Saccharomyces cerevisiae S288C: one gene and its partners. The gene in region 1 interacts genetically with each later gene. Each region holds a gene or a part of one and is shown in the gene's direction. Other genes may lie near its edges.

The links.
Region 2: mutations in TKL1 (region 1) and TAL1 impair growth when combined (synthetic growth defect), as found in Saccharomyces cerevisiae (one study listed by BioGRID).
Region 3: mutations in TKL1 (region 1) and LST4 together harm fitness more than expected from each alone (negative genetic interaction), as found in Saccharomyces cerevisiae (2 studies listed by BioGRID).
Region 4: mutations in TKL1 (region 1) and GND1 are lethal when combined (synthetic lethality), as found in Saccharomyces cerevisiae (2 studies listed by BioGRID, with this or other methods).

Annotation. Positions count from the first base shown.
Region 1 is NC_001148.4:692,256-697,061, reverse strand, and holds TKL1 (transketolase TKL1), read left to right. Parts: upstream 1-2,223; coding exon 2,224-4,266; downstream 4,267-4,806. Other genes in the region: OPY2 (Opy2p), read left to right, coding at 243-1,325; tyrosine protein phosphatase LTP1, read left to right, coding at 4,644-4,806. UniProt on the Saccharomyces cerevisiae protein: Catalyzes the transfer of a two-carbon ketol group from a ketose donor to an aldose acceptor, via a covalent intermediate with the cofactor thiamine pyrophosphate.
Region 2 is NC_001144.5:835,441-839,498, reverse strand, and holds TAL1 (sedoheptulose-7-phosphate:D-glyceraldehyde-3-phosphate transaldolase TAL1), read left to right. Parts: upstream 1-2,141; coding exon 2,142-3,149; downstream 3,150-4,058. Other genes in the region: ILV5 (ketol-acid reductoisomerase), read left to right, coding at 246-1,433; BUD8 (Bud8p), read right to left, coding at 3,336-4,058. UniProt on the Saccharomyces cerevisiae protein: Transaldolase is important for the balance of metabolites in the pentose-phosphate pathway.
Region 3 is NC_001143.9:114,639-120,173, reverse strand, and holds LST4 (Lst4p), read left to right. Parts: upstream 1-2,187; coding exon 2,188-4,674; downstream 4,675-5,535. Other genes in the region: Zn(2+) transporter ZRT3, read right to left, coding at 1-1,381. UniProt on the Saccharomyces cerevisiae protein: Involved in extracellular amino acid uptake. Required for the trafficking of the GAP1 nitrogen-regulated general amino acid permease from the Golgi to the plasma membrane.
Region 4 is NC_001140.6:468,360-472,929, forward strand, and holds GND1 (phosphogluconate dehydrogenase (decarboxylating) GND1), read left to right. Parts: upstream 1-2,600; coding exon 2,601-4,070; downstream 4,071-4,570. Other genes in the region: RGD3 (Rgd3p), read left to right, coding at 1-2,217; SSP1 (Ssp1p), read left to right, coding at 4,385-4,570. UniProt on the Saccharomyces cerevisiae protein: Catalyzes the oxidative decarboxylation of 6-phosphogluconate to ribulose 5-phosphate and CO(2), with concomitant reduction of NADP to NADPH.

The DNA of each region.
Region 1 (4,806 bases):
AGTATCAATAAATTCTGTTTACATTTCCGCACTATAGTGCATTCTTGAAATCGAAACGCGTTAAGTTCTCAATAAACAACGCGTTACCCTCTCAACAGAAAATAATGCCCCATTGTCCTGGGGTGAATTTAAAATCAAATGATTATAATGTGCGCTATTGTTGCACTGCTTCCCAGGCCGAATAAGAGAGGCACCACATTTATCAAACTGGTTACGTTCGTTTTCTGAAAATCAAACAAAAAATGTCGAGCTCCTCCAAGGCTTCTGCAAGTTCATCCTTGTCAAGCACAGCCACCTCTTCAACTTCTGCAACTAGAGGCAGCGACGGATGTGTTGTTTGCGATTCAACTGCATCATGCCCTGTTTGCGCTTCAGGAGAATATTGTGTTATGACTTCATTAACATGTGACAAGTGCCCATCCACATACTGTGCGAAACAGTCCGATTCACAACTGAGTAGTTTATCTTCCTCCTCCTCTAGTTCTAGTTCCAGTAATTCAAATGAGAAAACCTCGTTGATTGTGGGGTTCACCGTGGGTATTGTAGGTGGTGCGATGCTTATTGCCTTGGTGGCGTTGTATTTCATCAACAAGAGATATTGGAAGCCCAAAAGGCAAAAAAATAAAGCTTTGAAATTGGAAGAGGCATCGCAAAGTTACGGGAATGAAGAGGAATACTTCGACGATGAAGACGATGATGATGAAGACGATGAGGATGATGGCGGTATGAGAAAAGATGAAAGTCACACCCTGTTCAATACGTCACTGGTACCTCCAACTCTCAACGTGCCGGGAAACAGAAGTTCAGCATCTACCACTCGTACAAGGGCTTCTAATATTTTGCCTATTGCCTACATTCCTGGTGTGACAAGCGGTTTGAGTACCGACAAACTGCAATCAAAACTACGCTCGAGCTCTAAGAGACAAAATGCAGCTGGTGATATCAGGTCACATATAACCTTAGGTTCTTCCATCTTGGATGGTCTGGATGACGAAGATGACGAGCATAACCAGGTACTCAATAAGGACGCAGACGATAACCTCATAACTGCTATTCGTGCTAAACCTAAACTGGTTCAAATCGCAGAGGAAGAGAGTGATAAGGAGATTCAGGACTTGGATGTCATTGAAGAACAGACAGAGGCGGATGATCTTTCACACATGGCAAAAAGCGAGGCAAGCCATGGTAATAACGACGAAGATGACGATGAAGAAGGAAGTTTTATACTGGACTTGGAAATTCCAGAATCGATACGCGAGAGCACCCAGGGCAGTCGCACTGAGAGCCCGTTTGAGGACAAGTTCGAAATACACGATGAACGATAAATAAAAGGCGTGTCAGTATTCTGCAATCCCGGGGAAAATATTATATCATATCAATATTCAATGATCTACGTCTATATAGTTACGTGTATACGCCGTAATAAGCGCTTTTTTTTTTTTTTTAATTTTCTGACTACTGTTCAGCCATCAAGGTATGTCTAAATTAATAATATTCAGCATTTTCAACGTGCGCTTACCATCTGCTAATACACAGCTCCTCTGAAAGTTTCTTGGCCGAATGTCATAATTTTCGAACCAAATATAAAAATTCATACACATTAAAACAAGATGTGCTTACAAAGCGGATAAGTTCCGCAGCAGCCAAAGCTGCATTGAGACATTTTTCGCATACACATCACTTCTCTGGGGAATGAAGCATCCGAAAACGCCAACGGGACTAAAATACAGCAAACTTGCATTTTGGTCATTTATGGTTAGCAAGTTTAAGTGCTACTACATTACATATTACCTGACCCTGAAAACGGGCTTAAAAGCCCATCTACTATAGTGCCGCTGCGGGTAACCGTAGCTTCTTGCTTTTTTTCCCACCGTCATTTATTTTCTAGTCTTCTTTCCGAGAAATGCCGGCGGCGTTTGCCGTTCCGTTCGCAATCTCTCGAGAAGTTCGAGAGATGAAAAATTTTCTTGGGAAAGCCAAGAAGGTACGATCGTAGGCATGATTCATATATAAACTCTTTCCCAATCTTTTTGGTTACGTACATACTCCCCCCTGATCTTTTACCTACATACTTGATCGTGACTTCTTGATTCATTCATTTCTTGTTCTCACCGTTGTCTTCCTTTTAAATTTCGTTTTTTAAGTTTCAGATCAAACTGAAGTACAACAGAGAAGGAAGCTCATCCCAAGCAACTCTACATAGTTACCTCTTTAGCAAACAAAATGACTCAATTCACTGACATTGATAAGCTAGCCGTCTCCACCATAAGAATTTTGGCTGTGGACACCGTATCCAAGGCCAACTCAGGTCACCCAGGTGCTCCATTGGGTATGGCACCAGCTGCACACGTTCTATGGAGTCAAATGCGCATGAACCCAACCAACCCAGACTGGATCAACAGAGATAGATTTGTCTTGTCTAACGGTCACGCGGTCGCTTTGTTGTATTCTATGCTACATTTGACTGGTTACGATCTGTCTATTGAAGACTTGAAACAGTTCAGACAGTTGGGTTCCAGAACACCAGGTCATCCTGAATTTGAGTTGCCAGGTGTTGAAGTTACTACCGGTCCATTAGGTCAAGGTATCTCCAACGCTGTTGGTATGGCCATGGCTCAAGCTAACCTGGCTGCCACTTACAACAAGCCGGGCTTTACCTTGTCTGACAACTACACCTATGTTTTCTTGGGTGACGGTTGTTTGCAAGAAGGTATTTCTTCAGAAGCTTCCTCCTTGGCTGGTCATTTGAAATTGGGTAACTTGATTGCCATCTACGATGACAACAAGATCACTATCGATGGTGCTACCAGTATCTCATTCGATGAAGATGTTGCTAAGAGATACGAAGCCTACGGTTGGGAAGTTTTGTACGTAGAAAATGGTAACGAAGATCTAGCCGGTATTGCCAAGGCTATTGCTCAAGCTAAGTTATCCAAGGACAAACCAACTTTGATCAAAATGACCACAACCATTGGTTACGGTTCCTTGCATGCCGGCTCTCACTCTGTGCACGGTGCCCCATTGAAAGCAGATGATGTTAAACAACTAAAGAGCAAATTCGGTTTCAACCCAGACAAGTCCTTTGTTGTTCCACAAGAAGTTTACGACCACTACCAAAAGACAATTTTAAAGCCAGGTGTCGAAGCCAACAACAAGTGGAACAAGTTGTTCAGCGAATACCAAAAGAAATTCCCAGAATTAGGTGCTGAATTGGCTAGAAGATTGAGCGGCCAACTACCCGCAAATTGGGAATCTAAGTTGCCAACTTACACCGCCAAGGACTCTGCCGTGGCCACTAGAAAATTATCAGAAACTGTTCTTGAGGATGTTTACAATCAATTGCCAGAGTTGATTGGTGGTTCTGCCGATTTAACACCTTCTAACTTGACCAGATGGAAGGAAGCCCTTGACTTCCAACCTCCTTCTTCCGGTTCAGGTAACTACTCTGGTAGATACATTAGGTACGGTATTAGAGAACACGCTATGGGTGCCATAATGAACGGTATTTCAGCTTTCGGTGCCAACTACAAACCATACGGTGGTACTTTCTTGAACTTCGTTTCTTATGCTGCTGGTGCCGTTAGATTGTCCGCTTTGTCTGGCCACCCAGTTATTTGGGTTGCTACACATGACTCTATCGGTGTCGGTGAAGATGGTCCAACACATCAACCTATTGAAACTTTAGCACACTTCAGATCCCTACCAAACATTCAAGTTTGGAGACCAGCTGATGGTAACGAAGTTTCTGCCGCCTACAAGAACTCTTTAGAATCCAAGCATACTCCAAGTATCATTGCTTTGTCCAGACAAAACTTGCCACAATTGGAAGGTAGCTCTATTGAAAGCGCTTCTAAGGGTGGTTACGTACTACAAGATGTTGCTAACCCAGATATTATTTTAGTGGCTACTGGTTCCGAAGTGTCTTTGAGTGTTGAAGCTGCTAAGACTTTGGCCGCAAAGAACATCAAGGCTCGTGTTGTTTCTCTACCAGATTTCTTCACTTTTGACAAACAACCCCTAGAATACAGACTATCAGTCTTACCAGACAACGTTCCAATCATGTCTGTTGAAGTTTTGGCTACCACATGTTGGGGCAAATACGCTCATCAATCCTTCGGTATTGACAGATTTGGTGCCTCCGGTAAGGCACCAGAAGTCTTCAAGTTCTTCGGTTTCACCCCAGAAGGTGTTGCTGAAAGAGCTCAAAAGACCATTGCATTCTATAAGGGTGACAAGCTAATTTCTCCTTTGAAAAAAGCTTTCTAAATTCTGATCGTAGATCATCAGATTTGATATGATATTATTTGTGAAAAAATGAAATAAAACTTTATACAACTTAAATACAACTTTTTTTATAAACGATTAAGCAAAAAAATAGTTTCAAACTTTTAACAATATTCCAAACACTCAGTCCTTTTCCTTCTTATATTATAGGTGTACGTATTATAGAAAAATTTCAATGATTACTTTTTCTTTCTTTTTCCTTGTACCAGCACATGGCCGAGCTTGAATGTTAAACCCTTCGAGAGAATCACACCATTCAAGTATAAAGCCAATAAAGAATATAACTCCTAAAAGGCTAATTGAAACCCTGTGATTTTTGATAAGCGATAGAAAACTGAGAAGGGAAAGTTAACACGAAAATGACAATTGAAAAACCAAAAATATCGGTCGCATTCATTTGTTTGGGTAACTTCTGTAGATCACCAATGGCGGAAGCCATTTTCAAACATGAAGTCGAAAAGGCTAATCTAGAAAATCGATTCAACAAGATTGATTCATTTGGCACTTCTAATTATCATGTGG
Region 2 (4,058 bases), on another chromosome or scaffold:
GGCGAAATTTTCATCACGCTGTAGGACGCAAAAAAAAAATAATTAATCGTACAAGAATCTTGGAAAAAAAATTGAAAAATTTTGTATAAAAGGGATGACCTAACTTGACTCAATGGCTTTTACACCCAGTATTTTCCCTTTCCTTGTTTGTTACAATTATAGAAGCAAGACAAAAACATATAGACAACCTATTCCTAGGAGTTATATTTTTTTACCCTACCAGCAATATAAGTAAAAAATAAAACATGTTGAGAACTCAAGCCGCCAGATTGATCTGCAACTCCCGTGTCATCACTGCTAAGAGAACCTTTGCTTTGGCCACCCGTGCTGCTGCTTACAGCAGACCAGCTGCCCGTTTCGTTAAGCCAATGATCACTACCCGTGGTTTGAAGCAAATCAACTTCGGTGGTACTGTTGAAACCGTCTACGAAAGAGCTGACTGGCCAAGAGAAAAGTTGTTGGACTACTTCAAGAACGACACTTTTGCTTTGATCGGTTACGGTTCCCAAGGTTACGGTCAAGGTTTGAACTTGAGAGACAACGGTTTGAACGTTATCATTGGTGTCCGTAAAGATGGTGCTTCTTGGAAGGCTGCCATCGAAGACGGTTGGGTTCCAGGCAAGAACTTGTTCACTGTTGAAGATGCTATCAAGAGAGGTAGTTACGTTATGAACTTGTTGTCCGATGCCGCTCAATCAGAAACCTGGCCTGCTATCAAGCCATTGTTGACCAAGGGTAAGACTTTGTACTTCTCCCACGGTTTCTCCCCAGTCTTCAAGGACTTGACTCACGTTGAACCACCAAAGGACTTAGATGTTATCTTGGTTGCTCCAAAGGGTTCCGGTAGAACTGTCAGATCTTTGTTCAAGGAAGGTCGTGGTATTAACTCTTCTTACGCCGTCTGGAACGATGTCACCGGTAAGGCTCACGAAAAGGCCCAAGCTTTGGCCGTTGCCATTGGTTCCGGTTACGTTTACCAAACCACTTTCGAAAGAGAAGTCAACTCTGACTTGTACGGTGAAAGAGGTTGTTTAATGGGTGGTATCCACGGTATGTTCTTGGCTCAATACGACGTCTTGAGAGAAAACGGTCACTCCCCATCTGAAGCTTTCAACGAAACCGTCGAAGAAGCTACCCAATCTCTATACCCATTGATCGGTAAGTACGGTATGGATTACATGTACGATGCTTGTTCCACCACCGCCAGAAGAGGTGCTTTGGACTGGTACCCAATCTTCAAGAATGCTTTGAAGCCTGTTTTCCAAGACTTGTACGAATCTACCAAGAACGGTACCGAAACCAAGAGATCTTTGGAATTCAACTCTCAACCTGACTACAGAGAAAAGCTAGAAAAGGAATTAGACACCATCAGAAACATGGAAATCTGGAAGGTTGGTAAGGAAGTCAGAAAGTTGAGACCAGAAAACCAATAAAGAGGAAAATAATATCAAGTGCTGGAAACTTTTTCTCTTGGAATTTTTGCAACATCAAGTCATAGTCAATTGAATTGACCCAATTTCACATTTAAGATTTTTTTTTTTTCATCCGACATACATCTGTACACTAGGAAGCCCTGTTTTTCTGAAGCAGCTTCAAATATATATATTTTTTACATATTTATTATGATTCAATGAACAATCTAATTAAATCGAAAACAAGAACCGAAACGCGAATAAATAATTTATTTAGATGGTGACAAGTGTATAAGTCCTCATCGGGACAGCTACGATTTCTCTTTCGGTTTTGGCTGAGCTACTGGTTGCTGTGACGCAGCGGCATTAGCGCGGCGTTATGAGCTACCCTCGTGGCCTGAAAGATGGCGGGAATAAAGCGGAACTAAAAATTACTGACTGAGCCATATTGAGGTCAATTTGTCAACTCGTCAAGTCACGTTTGGTGGACGGCCCCTTTCCAACGAATCGTATATACTAACATGCGCGCGCTTCCTATATACACATATACATATATATATATATATATATGTGTGCGTGTATGTGTACACCTGTATTTAATTTCCTTACTCGCGGGTTTTTCTTTTTTCTCAATTCTTGGCTTCCTCTTTCTCGAGTATATAATTTTTCAGGTAAAATTTAGTACGATAGTAAAATACTTCTCGAACTCGTCACATATACGTGTACATAATGTCTGAACCAGCTCAAAAGAAACAAAAGGTTGCTAACAACTCTCTAGAACAATTGAAAGCCTCCGGCACTGTCGTTGTTGCCGACACTGGTGATTTCGGCTCTATTGCCAAGTTTCAACCTCAAGACTCCACAACTAACCCATCATTGATCTTGGCTGCTGCCAAGCAACCAACTTACGCCAAGTTGATCGATGTTGCCGTGGAATACGGTAAGAAGCATGGTAAGACCACCGAAGAACAAGTCGAAAATGCTGTGGACAGATTGTTAGTCGAATTCGGTAAGGAGATCTTAAAGATTGTTCCAGGCAGAGTCTCCACCGAAGTTGATGCTAGATTGTCTTTTGACACTCAAGCTACCATTGAAAAGGCTAGACATATCATTAAATTGTTTGAACAAGAAGGTGTCTCCAAGGAAAGAGTCCTTATTAAAATTGCTTCCACTTGGGAAGGTATTCAAGCTGCCAAAGAATTGGAAGAAAAGGACGGTATCCACTGTAATTTGACTCTATTATTCTCCTTCGTTCAAGCAGTTGCCTGTGCCGAGGCCCAAGTTACTTTGATTTCCCCATTTGTTGGTAGAATTCTAGACTGGTACAAATCCAGCACTGGTAAAGATTACAAGGGTGAAGCCGACCCAGGTGTTATTTCCGTCAAGAAAATCTACAACTACTACAAGAAGTACGGTTACAAGACTATTGTTATGGGTGCTTCTTTCAGAAGCACTGACGAAATCAAAAACTTGGCTGGTGTTGACTATCTAACAATTTCTCCAGCTTTATTGGACAAGTTGATGAACAGTACTGAACCTTTCCCAAGAGTTTTGGACCCTGTCTCCGCTAAGAAGGAAGCCGGCGACAAGATTTCTTACATCAGCGACGAATCTAAATTCAGATTCGACTTGAATGAAGACGCTATGGCCACTGAAAAATTGTCCGAAGGTATCAGAAAATTCTCTGCCGATATTGTTACTCTATTCGACTTGATTGAAAAGAAAGTTACCGCTTAAGGAAGTATCTCGGAAATATTAATTTAGGCCATGTCCTTATGCACGTTTCTTTTGATACTTACGGGTACATGTACACAAGTATATCTATATATATAAATTAATGAAAATCCCCTATTTATATATATGACTTTAACGAGACAGAACAGTTTTTTATTTTTTATCCTATTTGATGAATGATACAGTTTCTTATTCACGTGTTATACCCACACCAAATCCAATAGCAATACCGGCCATCACAATCACTGTTTCGGCAGCCCCTAAGATCAGACAAAACATCCGGAACCACCTTAAATCAACGTCCCATATGAATCCTTGCAGCAAAGCCGCTCGGTGTTCTTTATTCATAAGCAACCTCATTAATCTATAGTCTGAAACTAATTTCCTTCTTGAGCTGCAGCCAATAATAAAAAATAATGGCGGCACTATACTACAACATAGGAGGATCACAATGATGTTTTCGATGCTGTAAACGTCCCTGAATCCATTTTGACCTGAATCAAACGAATGAATGGAAGCGGTATCGATATGTTGAATTGGCATTCTCGCCTCCAGGTCTATATTTTCAGCATCGTGCCTGTCTTCTTTCCTATTATCAGTTTTTTCTTGTTGCTTTCGTCGTATGCTTCGAGCTGGCTTTTCTATAATGGAGTTCTGTCCCGTGTCTGACTCCGAGCTTTGAGATTTAATTGGAGCTAGCACGAGGGGTTGTCCATGTTCTGGCAACGTTTTATTTTTCTTCTTGTTCATCTTGGTCAATGGAGAGGGCGTCTTGTGTCCTTCATAGCGTGAAAATGGATCAGACTTAGTTGAATTTCCAGATTCTAAGCGTAAAGGTGTCTTCGTCCATTTGCTTGGTCCGGACACACTTCTTAATACGGGAATTGAAGGTAGTCCAATTGGTGGACCTTC
Region 3 (5,535 bases), on another chromosome or scaffold:
TAAATCCGATACCAGTTTGGAACATTTGTAAACCAATTACTAATAGGAACCCTGCAGTAACGCTCAGTAAAAAATCCATGTTGGGTTCGTGATCCCTTGGAGTACTACCTTTAAAGATGAAATAACCTATCAATGCACCTAATGGTTGAGATCCACCACCGAGAACGGCAGTAATCAAAATGGCAACCCATTTAGATTCGAAAACAGTGTAGAATGGTAACGTCATTGCAAATCCTTCGACAAAATTATGGATCGTCAAACTTAAAAAAATGGAAAATCCCAAGGACTTTGACGAATCTGACCTGTTAGTGTAAAAAATAATAAACCCTTCGGGAAATTTGTGTAATGCAAGGACTAGACAAGTTTGCATACCAATAGACAGTAATTTGGAAAAAGGGGTCTCTAAGTGATGATGGTGGGGGTATAATGAACCATTTTCGGGATGGTATTGTGTGTCTGCCAATGCGGCCGGATTCTCAGTTACATCATTTCCCAAAGGTGACGAAAAAGAGTGCGACAACTGGTTGGAACCATAATTTTCGGGCGATTCAGAGGAATGATGATGGCGGCTCGAAAGAAAATTCTTACGGTACAACGATAGGTTTTCAAGATCGTAACCGATATTATTTTCCACGCATACAAGGCCACGATGATCCTTGTCATCGGATTGTCCATTATCTTCTGATCCCTCGCATCCATGTGGCACGTTTCTTTCACTTTGAGAAGACTTTATCACTGGTGGGACACATGCAATATATTCTGGCTGCTCTGATTGCAAGAGCGGAGTGCACTTGTTTAGGTCACAACACTCGCCTTCTGATTTCCTTCTGGTTAATAAGTCAATTAGGGACATTTTCTTTTTCATTTGGGGTCTATCGCTATCCTTTGTAATCAACGGGTCATTTTCAGAAACACTGGAAGAAGATGTTGCATAACCATGCTCAGAGGGAGCATTTTCTAAATCATGATCGTTGCTAAAATTCGAATGCGAATCCGCATGTGAGTGTGAGTGCGAATGCGAATGTGATTTGGAGTGTATATGTGAACCTGTAGCATGGTCACCGCTATCAGCACAGTGTACCAACGATTCGCTGGCGAAAGCGTGGACTAGGTAGTTTAAGAAAAAACTGAGGCAAATACCCAAAAGCAATCCAGGAAAAACCTTGAACCGGTTTGATTTTTCGATCCGAGGCAATAGCATGTATAGTGAAGTAGTGATCATAGATCCGGCACTTAGAGAAAGACCATAGTTGACCAACTTAGATTGGCTATTGCGCTTGCTATCGAAGGCAACCGATAACAACGGCACACACAGGGCCCCAAGTATGCACAGCACCGACGATATAAGAGAAAACAACAACCACCTGGGAATTTTTTCCATTTTCTTGCGTTTCTTCACTGTGATGCTTGTGAGAATATTAGGATATACCAACGTGCAACTCTGAAATGTCAAAACGGTCGTGTATAAATAAATGATATACCAGTAGGTGAAATCATCTCATTTGTCTTTCTAAAAAAGTCCATTACCCTTAAGGTTGTTGTCACAACCCACGGAGCAGTTTTAGAGGTGCAAAATTGAAAGAATGGCCACATTTTGAGCAATTCATCGACAACAAGAGCTTATGATTAACTTGGGTTGTGGGCAATTGGGTGTACTATGAAGCAGCCAATACCTGTTTTACAACAGTATTCTCAGTTTCAGCTTAGAGATGTGTCAAATCGAAGGCTAGTGTGGTGCACGGAGTTTATGGCACATTGGTAAGTAATCATTGCAACTTTTTTTTATTTGAGGAATATAGTAAGAGAGAAGCTTTAGTGATGGTCAAAGAAGAGAGGAATACAAGTGAGTTGTATCTAGGATTTTTTATTACGTGAGTGTTGTTTTACTTTAGTCGGTAGGAATCATTGTTATTTTTGTCTGTTTGTTTGTCTCTATTTTTGGGTACACGTGCGTGTTTCTTCTAGTGGATGGTTTGAACGAAGCAGGTTCTCAGGATTGATTGATTGATCTGCTTTAGTGTGTAACGTTCTGCGACTAGCTTTCGTTGCTACCGATATATAAAGAAAAAAAGGAGAGCGTGTGTTTGGAGCGTCTTAAACCCCATTGGTGAGAGCCTCCAGTACCATTTGCCTGTTAAAACTGTCTTGTGTGTGGCCTTGTAGAGAAGGTGAAGAGGGAGAGTTTATATGTTGGGTAATTTACTGAGAAATAAGACGAGTTCGTCTGGTTTTGAGAAGAGCTCAGAGCATTCCGATTTTTCCTCCGTAGTTCCCAATGTCCCTGTATACTGCAAAGCGGCAAGCACAGGAACTACTAAGACCGCTGCTGGAGCTCTTTTAGATACTGCAGTCAATGTGGAAAAGCCTTCGGAAATGCTATCAACGACTTCTCCGCCCATTTTAGATCATATATCGGATGACTTAAAACTGAAGCTTTTCGGCTCGAGGGATATTCCTTATAGTCGTCCTATCGATACGTTACAAAACAACGGAGGTCTTGGTACTGATAAAATCACGTCTATTAACGAAAAAACGTATGCATTCAGGATTTTGATCATTGAGGAAGCGGGTCAAATGGCGTGTAGGAACAACTACCGTGATATCTTCGATTACACTACGTCAAAGATTTCAAATTCGATGGAGCAGATACGGCCGAGTGAATTGAAGGAATATATATTTGGTTCTCCCGTAAGATCTTCCGATTTGACGCAGTGCGACAAGATAAGGACGATTCCTAACTCGGATTTGGTACTCATAACTAGAATTTTCTATTACACACACCAATACAACCGCATCGCAATTAGCTTATGCATACCGAGGATATTGTTGCCCGTAGTTGCAGAGTCGTGGTCTTCCATTTCATCATGGTTGACCCAGACTCAAAAAATGCTCATTGGTTTCTTGACTAAAAACCGTATTATGCAAGAAAATACTGGCAATTACAGCAATAATTCAGTCATAAAATTGTCAAATATTGACATCAGGACGCATTATCCCAAGGAAATTGAAATAATGGTGCAAACTTTACAAAAAAGAGTCATACCAGGTTTACGTTCTATGTCTGAGATTCCTAGGCTTTTCCTTTACCCTGAGACATTTAAAGAATTCGTTCACGTTTGGTTCAAAAGTATATTTAATTGGATTGAAATCAAAGATGGACCGAAACTAGGCTTCCTTCCTCTCCTAATGGCAATGATTATATCTGATTACAGGCACACTATAAGAGAACTAAAGACATCCAAGATCGTAATCCTGTCAGGAAACATGGTGGTTGCTAACAAGTTACTGTTCATCTTATCGGCTTTATTGGAGCCAAAGTACAAGGGACAAATAACGATACGGCGGGAAAACATAAGATCGGATTCGTCCGCTGTATCAAGAAATAAGTCTAACAATAATTTTGTCGATAAGCCTGAGACGGAATTGAGCACACTGACTTCAACAGACAACCTTTTGAGTCGCACAGAAAATAATAGCAATCATAATTACAACAACAGTAATGTGAGCTCTAACAGCATTGGATCACCCAATTTCCATTCTTTGAGGAAAGGATGGCAAATACCCAATCGGAGGAACTCGAACACTTCAGTATCTGTGTCTTCTAGTGAGTCTTTAGCGGAAGTTATTCAGCCATCTTCCTTCAAAAGTGGGAGTAGTTCATTGCATTATCTATCGTCTTCTATCTCAAGCCAACCTGGTTCGTACGGTTCTTGGTTCAACAAAAGGCCAACAATTTCTCAGTTCTTTCAACCAAGCCCTTCTTTAAAACACAACGAGTCGTGGGAGAGGCTGCAAACAACTGCTGGAAATATGCAAAGGACTTCAAGTTCGTCTTCTTTGCAGCAAGCAACCTCCAGGTTATCACTAACCACTCCGCAACAATCACCGTCTATCAGCGAATATGATGAGTATCCTTGGATGGGCACACCTGGCTCTCCTAATGTTGGAGATGTGTCTCACGCACCCCCATTGGTTAAGAATATATCATATAAATTTCCACTAAAGAACGTTGAGTTGAAAAGAGATTGCCAAAGGATCTCTCAGGATGATCTTTTGGATGAGGCTTTTGAAAGAATATGTCAGCCCTCTTTGGCTGACCTTAATTCCACTTACGAAATTTTTCCAGGTAACTCTTCTTATGCGGATATTTTGACTACTGATTCTGATATTGATGATGGCTTGATGAATAAACCTCTGGAACTATTGCCGAAATATACAATGTATTTAACCCATTTTAACAATTTTTTCCAGTTGCAAGCATGTCCTGCTGGTCAAGAATCAGAGAGCAGAATAACAAATTCTATGAAGATTGACCTGTTAAAGGCGGATTACACAAGAAGTCTATTAGTATCGTTACGTTCAAGGGACATTAGGGATGTCGCATTGAAAAGAGAGTTTACTGGCAATAACAACAATAACAGCAACCAGAATATCTATGATGAGAATTTTGTCGGAAAAAGGAAGTACGTGTTGAAACAGAAGACCAGAAAAATCTTTTCCTGTGGCAAGATTGGCAAGCTAAGTACTAGTTTGGAAAACTGCGTTAATTTTGTTGAAAATAGTATAAAGAGTGCAATGATGTTATATGATGATAATGGAATAGATAGTGAGCTTCGCGATTCAGAAGCTTTACGGATTTTTTCATCTCTTGTTCATTATTGTAATGCAGGTTAATGTTTTCTCCTTCTTTACATGTTTAATATATTCCAAGTTACCTAAGAGGTGTACGATATTTTTTTCTTTTATATATATGATTTTCTCTATTCATTTTTTAGTTTTTTTTGATACATAAGCGAATCGCACATTGCGCAACTTCAATTTGTTGATTCGCCAAAGTATTCTTACCATAAAACAACCATTCGTTGCTTTACCCTTTCGTAATCATTTACCGTGATAACCATAATCAGAAACTTATTATTTCAGCCTAGTAGACCGGCCAAGCAGGCCTTGTAATGTTTCTCTTGATTGCTTGAATCTTTTAAGCAGCCAAATCTTTCCAAAAAAATGCAATTATCAGAACAAAACTATTTAAGGTGACTTCTCCGTATTTACACCACCAGAAGCGTTCTGGCTCCCCTTTTCTCTAAACGTTAAACATTTTACAATTGAAATGTTACCAATCCTATATTATTGTACCACATTGCCAGATTTATGAACTCTGGGTATGGGTGCTAATTTTCGTTAGAAGCGCTGGTACAATTTTCTCTGTCATTGTGACACTAATTAGGAAACTTCTCGACTATCAATGTGTAAATGAAGGAATAATGGCGGAAACTTTGAAACTTTGTCAATAATTGCATCATTGGATGCGTTTCATTTGGCCGTTATCACGGAGAGGCAGAGTTCTCTCCACAATTTGGGCAGAAGTCTTTTGAAAAGACATATATATATATATATATGTATATGAGTGGATGCTTAAGGTAAGAATAATTTCTGAATTCCCAAGTATTCATTTTGTGCAGTATTCACATATTCTATTTTATTGCTTTTTAACTTTAGAGGCAATTAAATTTGTGTAGGAAAGGCAAAATACTA
Region 4 (4,570 bases), on another chromosome or scaffold:
TTATTCATAAAACATATGAAGAGAGAAAATGATTTGCTGATTAAAGACATCAAATTTTACAATGATTTTGTCAACAAATTTTGGAAACCAACATTGAACAATTTACAAAAAATGGAAGCAACCAATTCAATGAATAGCAGGCTGCTGGAAGTGATGAGCAAACAGTTTAATATAATATCAACAGAGCAAGTTGAAAGAGATTGTAAAATTCCATTGCAAGAACTAAGAGATCTTAATGAGAGCTTCCTTCGTGAGGCAGAAAACGATTTGTCATCTCGTTATTCAGCTTACATTAAGGATTTAGTCGCAGCTAAAGAGGCACTAATTGGATGTGAGAAAAGAGTTCAGTCTATATATAAATTGAAAAAAGCCAATACGCCAGTGGAAAATTCTTCCTCTGTTTTTGATAATGGAAAGGATAGTGCACCGTTAACCAGGTTGAACTTCGTATGCGAGTTTCCTTACACTTTAGACGAGAGGTTAAAATTTGAGGATTGCGACCAATTTATGTCATTTTTGCAAACCTTGAAGGGAAAAGTCATCCTGGAGAAAAGTGTCTTTTCCGTTCCAGGATTGTCAAATCAAAGTTTCCAAGGCAGGTCATTGATCAAAGAATTGAAAAAACTTGAACCCAGACTAAACCTGTCCTTATTTAATATCGATAGGATAGGTAACGAATTCATCCAACTGGGTATAATACAAGAATATTCCCTGAGTTTTTACTCTAGCAAAGTTTCTCAGTTTGACCAGGAAAAATACTATTACTGGAACAGTGAAGTCCTTGCTACGCAAGAGAGTAATGGTAATGCTGGAAACAGAAAAAAAAAATCGTATGGTGAGTTAACACACTCCGACAATGAACACGAAGAAAAGTCCAACGTTTCATCTATCAAAACATCTATATCCGATTGGATCCGCAAAGTTAGTCAACATGATAATGATGATTGCGATGCAGCGGGAAGTACAGATATGAATAAAAATGAGTGGAAGAGTTTAAAACAGCAACTTGAATCATCACAAGATATTTTTTTCTCCAAGTGTTGCCAGTTGGAATATTCTAAAGTGCAGTTGGAAAAAACCATTTATGATTATTGTAAAAATTACTCTAAAATGGAGGACGGAATCAAACGAGCTCTAGAATCATCAAACATGATGTTTCAACAAAAATGTGAAAAATTTACTGACTCACCTGTGTGTTCTCTACAAGAAGCACAACTGCCACAGGAAACTGCCAATGCGGATGTAAGAGGGTTTTTCCTCAGGGATAATGGCATACCCTTTCGCAGGTGGAATATCCTAGAAGCGAGTGATCCAGTCGACGCTTGCAAAGAAATCTCCATAAAAAGCGAAAAGTTTTTCTGTGGTAGTGAAATAAATAATGAACTGGCTGCTCTTGATACGTTAGGGGCAATAAAGATTATACTGCGGCAGATTGAAAAGGAACCAAATGCTAATAAAGTCATACAAAGTTGGCACAGGGATATTGATTTTGTAAGGGTTTCTAATTTGAAAAGAGACTTATTGGGGGAATTCAAAGGATCGAAAACTACCGAAAATACAAACTCTATAATCACTGCTCATTTTTTTGAAAACTCGCACAGCTATGTCACTAATGATCTCGTCGGACTGATAAAATTATGGCTGTTAGAGCTACCCGACAGCCTAATACCTTCAAACCACTACGATGACTTAATTAAGGCCGAAAAATCGCTAACATCCCTATGTGAACAGTTTCCGACGAGCTCCTTAAGGTTTCTACAAGAACTAGCAAACCATTTTCAATTGATCAATAGCAAATACTCACTTCCGCCGCAAACAATACAAGATTTGTTTAGAGACAACAGTGACATAGACATACCATTGGCCCATCACTTCGTAAGAAGAACAGGCTTACAGAACCCTATCGACATCAAAATCTTGTCACCAACATTATCTACATTTTTCATCAACGAAAGAACTGTAGAAACTTTGCAAACGTTGATCGCAAACAGGATCACGACGGCAACTACTGCGACACTCACTGAACCGCCGACGATAATTATAAAGGATACAACGGCACCTATACACTCTACCCCTAAGCCACCGCCAAACGACAAGGATGGCCATTTCATACCTCGGCCATTCAAGACTAGTTCTACTCCGACAACCCCAGAGAGACCTAAACGTAAGAGTGGTTTATTCCTTCCCATCAACGTCAACGATGTCCCTTCTACATAACTCCATGCATGCTACATAGTAACTACGTAAATCACCTGCTACCTCTCTGTTCTTTCGTCCCGCCTCGAGGTTGTGCTGCTTTTGTACCTATTGTGGCTGTCGGTGTTACATTACGGTGCCTCGGTGTTACGCGGTGCTTCGTCCTGGTGGTCCACGCGGCCTTGCGCTTTGGCCTTGGTGGGCTTCGAGGCTGTATTATATAAATGGGCCTGATGTTCGTTAAAAGCTGCAGTATTGTTCCTGAGCTTGTTTCTTTTTCAAAGGTTTCCTTTTTTCTTAGTGGGGTCCTTTCTTACATAATAAAGTAAATAGCCTGATACATATAAACCTGTATTGTTGCCATTACAGAAAAAAGCCACTTTCTATACAAAAACTACAATAAAATGTCTGCTGATTTCGGTTTGATTGGTTTGGCCGTCATGGGTCAAAATTTGATCTTGAACGCTGCTGACCACGGTTTCACTGTTTGTGCTTACAACAGAACTCAATCCAAGGTCGACCATTTCTTGGCCAATGAAGCTAAGGGCAAATCTATCATCGGTGCTACTTCCATTGAAGATTTCATCTCCAAATTGAAGAGACCTAGAAAGGTCATGCTTTTGGTTAAAGCTGGTGCTCCAGTTGACGCTTTGATCAACCAAATCGTCCCACTTTTGGAAAAGGGTGATATTATCATCGATGGTGGTAACTCTCACTTCCCAGATTCTAATAGACGTTACGAAGAATTGAAGAAGAAGGGTATTCTTTTCGTTGGTTCTGGTGTCTCCGGTGGTGAGGAAGGTGCCCGTTACGGTCCATCTTTGATGCCAGGTGGTTCTGAAGAAGCTTGGCCACATATTAAGAACATCTTCCAATCCATCTCTGCTAAATCCGACGGTGAACCATGTTGCGAATGGGTTGGCCCAGCCGGTGCTGGTCACTACGTCAAGATGGTTCACAACGGTATTGAATACGGTGATATGCAATTGATTTGTGAAGCTTATGACATCATGAAGAGATTGGGTGGGTTTACCGATAAGGAAATCAGTGACGTTTTTGCCAAATGGAACAATGGTGTCTTGGATTCCTTCTTGGTCGAAATTACCAGAGATATTTTGAAATTCGACGACGTCGACGGTAAGCCATTAGTTGAAAAAATCATGGATACTGCTGGTCAAAAGGGTACTGGTAAGTGGACTGCCATCAACGCCTTGGATTTGGGTATGCCAGTTACTTTGATTGGTGAAGCTGTCTTTGCCCGTTGTCTATCTGCTTTGAAGAACGAGAGAATTAGAGCCTCCAAGGTCTTACCAGGCCCAGAAGTTCCAAAAGACGCCGTCAAGGACAGAGAACAATTTGTCGATGATTTGGAACAAGCTTTGTATGCTTCCAAGATTATTTCTTACGCTCAAGGTTTCATGTTGATCCGTGAAGCTGCTGCTACTTATGGCTGGAAACTAAACAACCCTGCCATCGCTTTGATGTGGAGAGGTGGTTGTATCATTAGATCTGTTTTCTTGGGTCAAATCACAAAGGCCTACAGAGAAGAACCAGATTTGGAAAACTTGTTGTTCAACAAGTTCTTCGCTGATGCCGTCACCAAGGCTCAATCTGGTTGGAGAAAGTCAATTGCGTTGGCTACCACCTACGGTATCCCAACACCAGCCTTTTCCACCGCTTTGTCTTTCTACGATGGGTACAGATCTGAAAGATTGCCAGCCAACTTACTACAAGCTCAACGTGACTACTTTGGTGCTCACACTTTCAGAGTGTTGCCAGAATGTGCTTCTGACAACTTGCCAGTAGACAAGGATATCCATATCAACTGGACTGGCCACGGTGGTAATGTTTCTTCCTCTACATACCAAGCTTAAAGGAAATCTCCAACCTGGACATAAACCAAAAAAATTTAATGAAATAGATTAGTTATAGTAAAAGTAATCATAATAATAAATAGATAAATAAATCCAAATGCAATTATAAATAGTATATGAAGTTATGTGTTTTCTAAAATATTAAAGGTTTATAAACGGGGTCCCGAAACTATCTCCATTTCTTTTTTTTTTTTTACGTAAGGAAAGGCAAACAGGCGACACAAAATCATGAAGTCAGAAAATAAAATAAAAGTGAAAAATTTCACAATAGTGCCTATTATCATGATAGAAGTAGAGTAGAAAAGCTAGCAACAATGAGAAGCTCTGGCACATATGAGAATGATCCTTCTGGGGAAATAACCTCAACTTCCCCAAAGCAGTCGAAGCAGAAAAAGCCTACCAAATTTAGGGAAAGAATGCGCAGGTGGTTACAAAATGGGAAAAATAACAACCACCAAGGAGAGGAGGATGTTCCTGAAATATTTAACAAGAATTTTTAT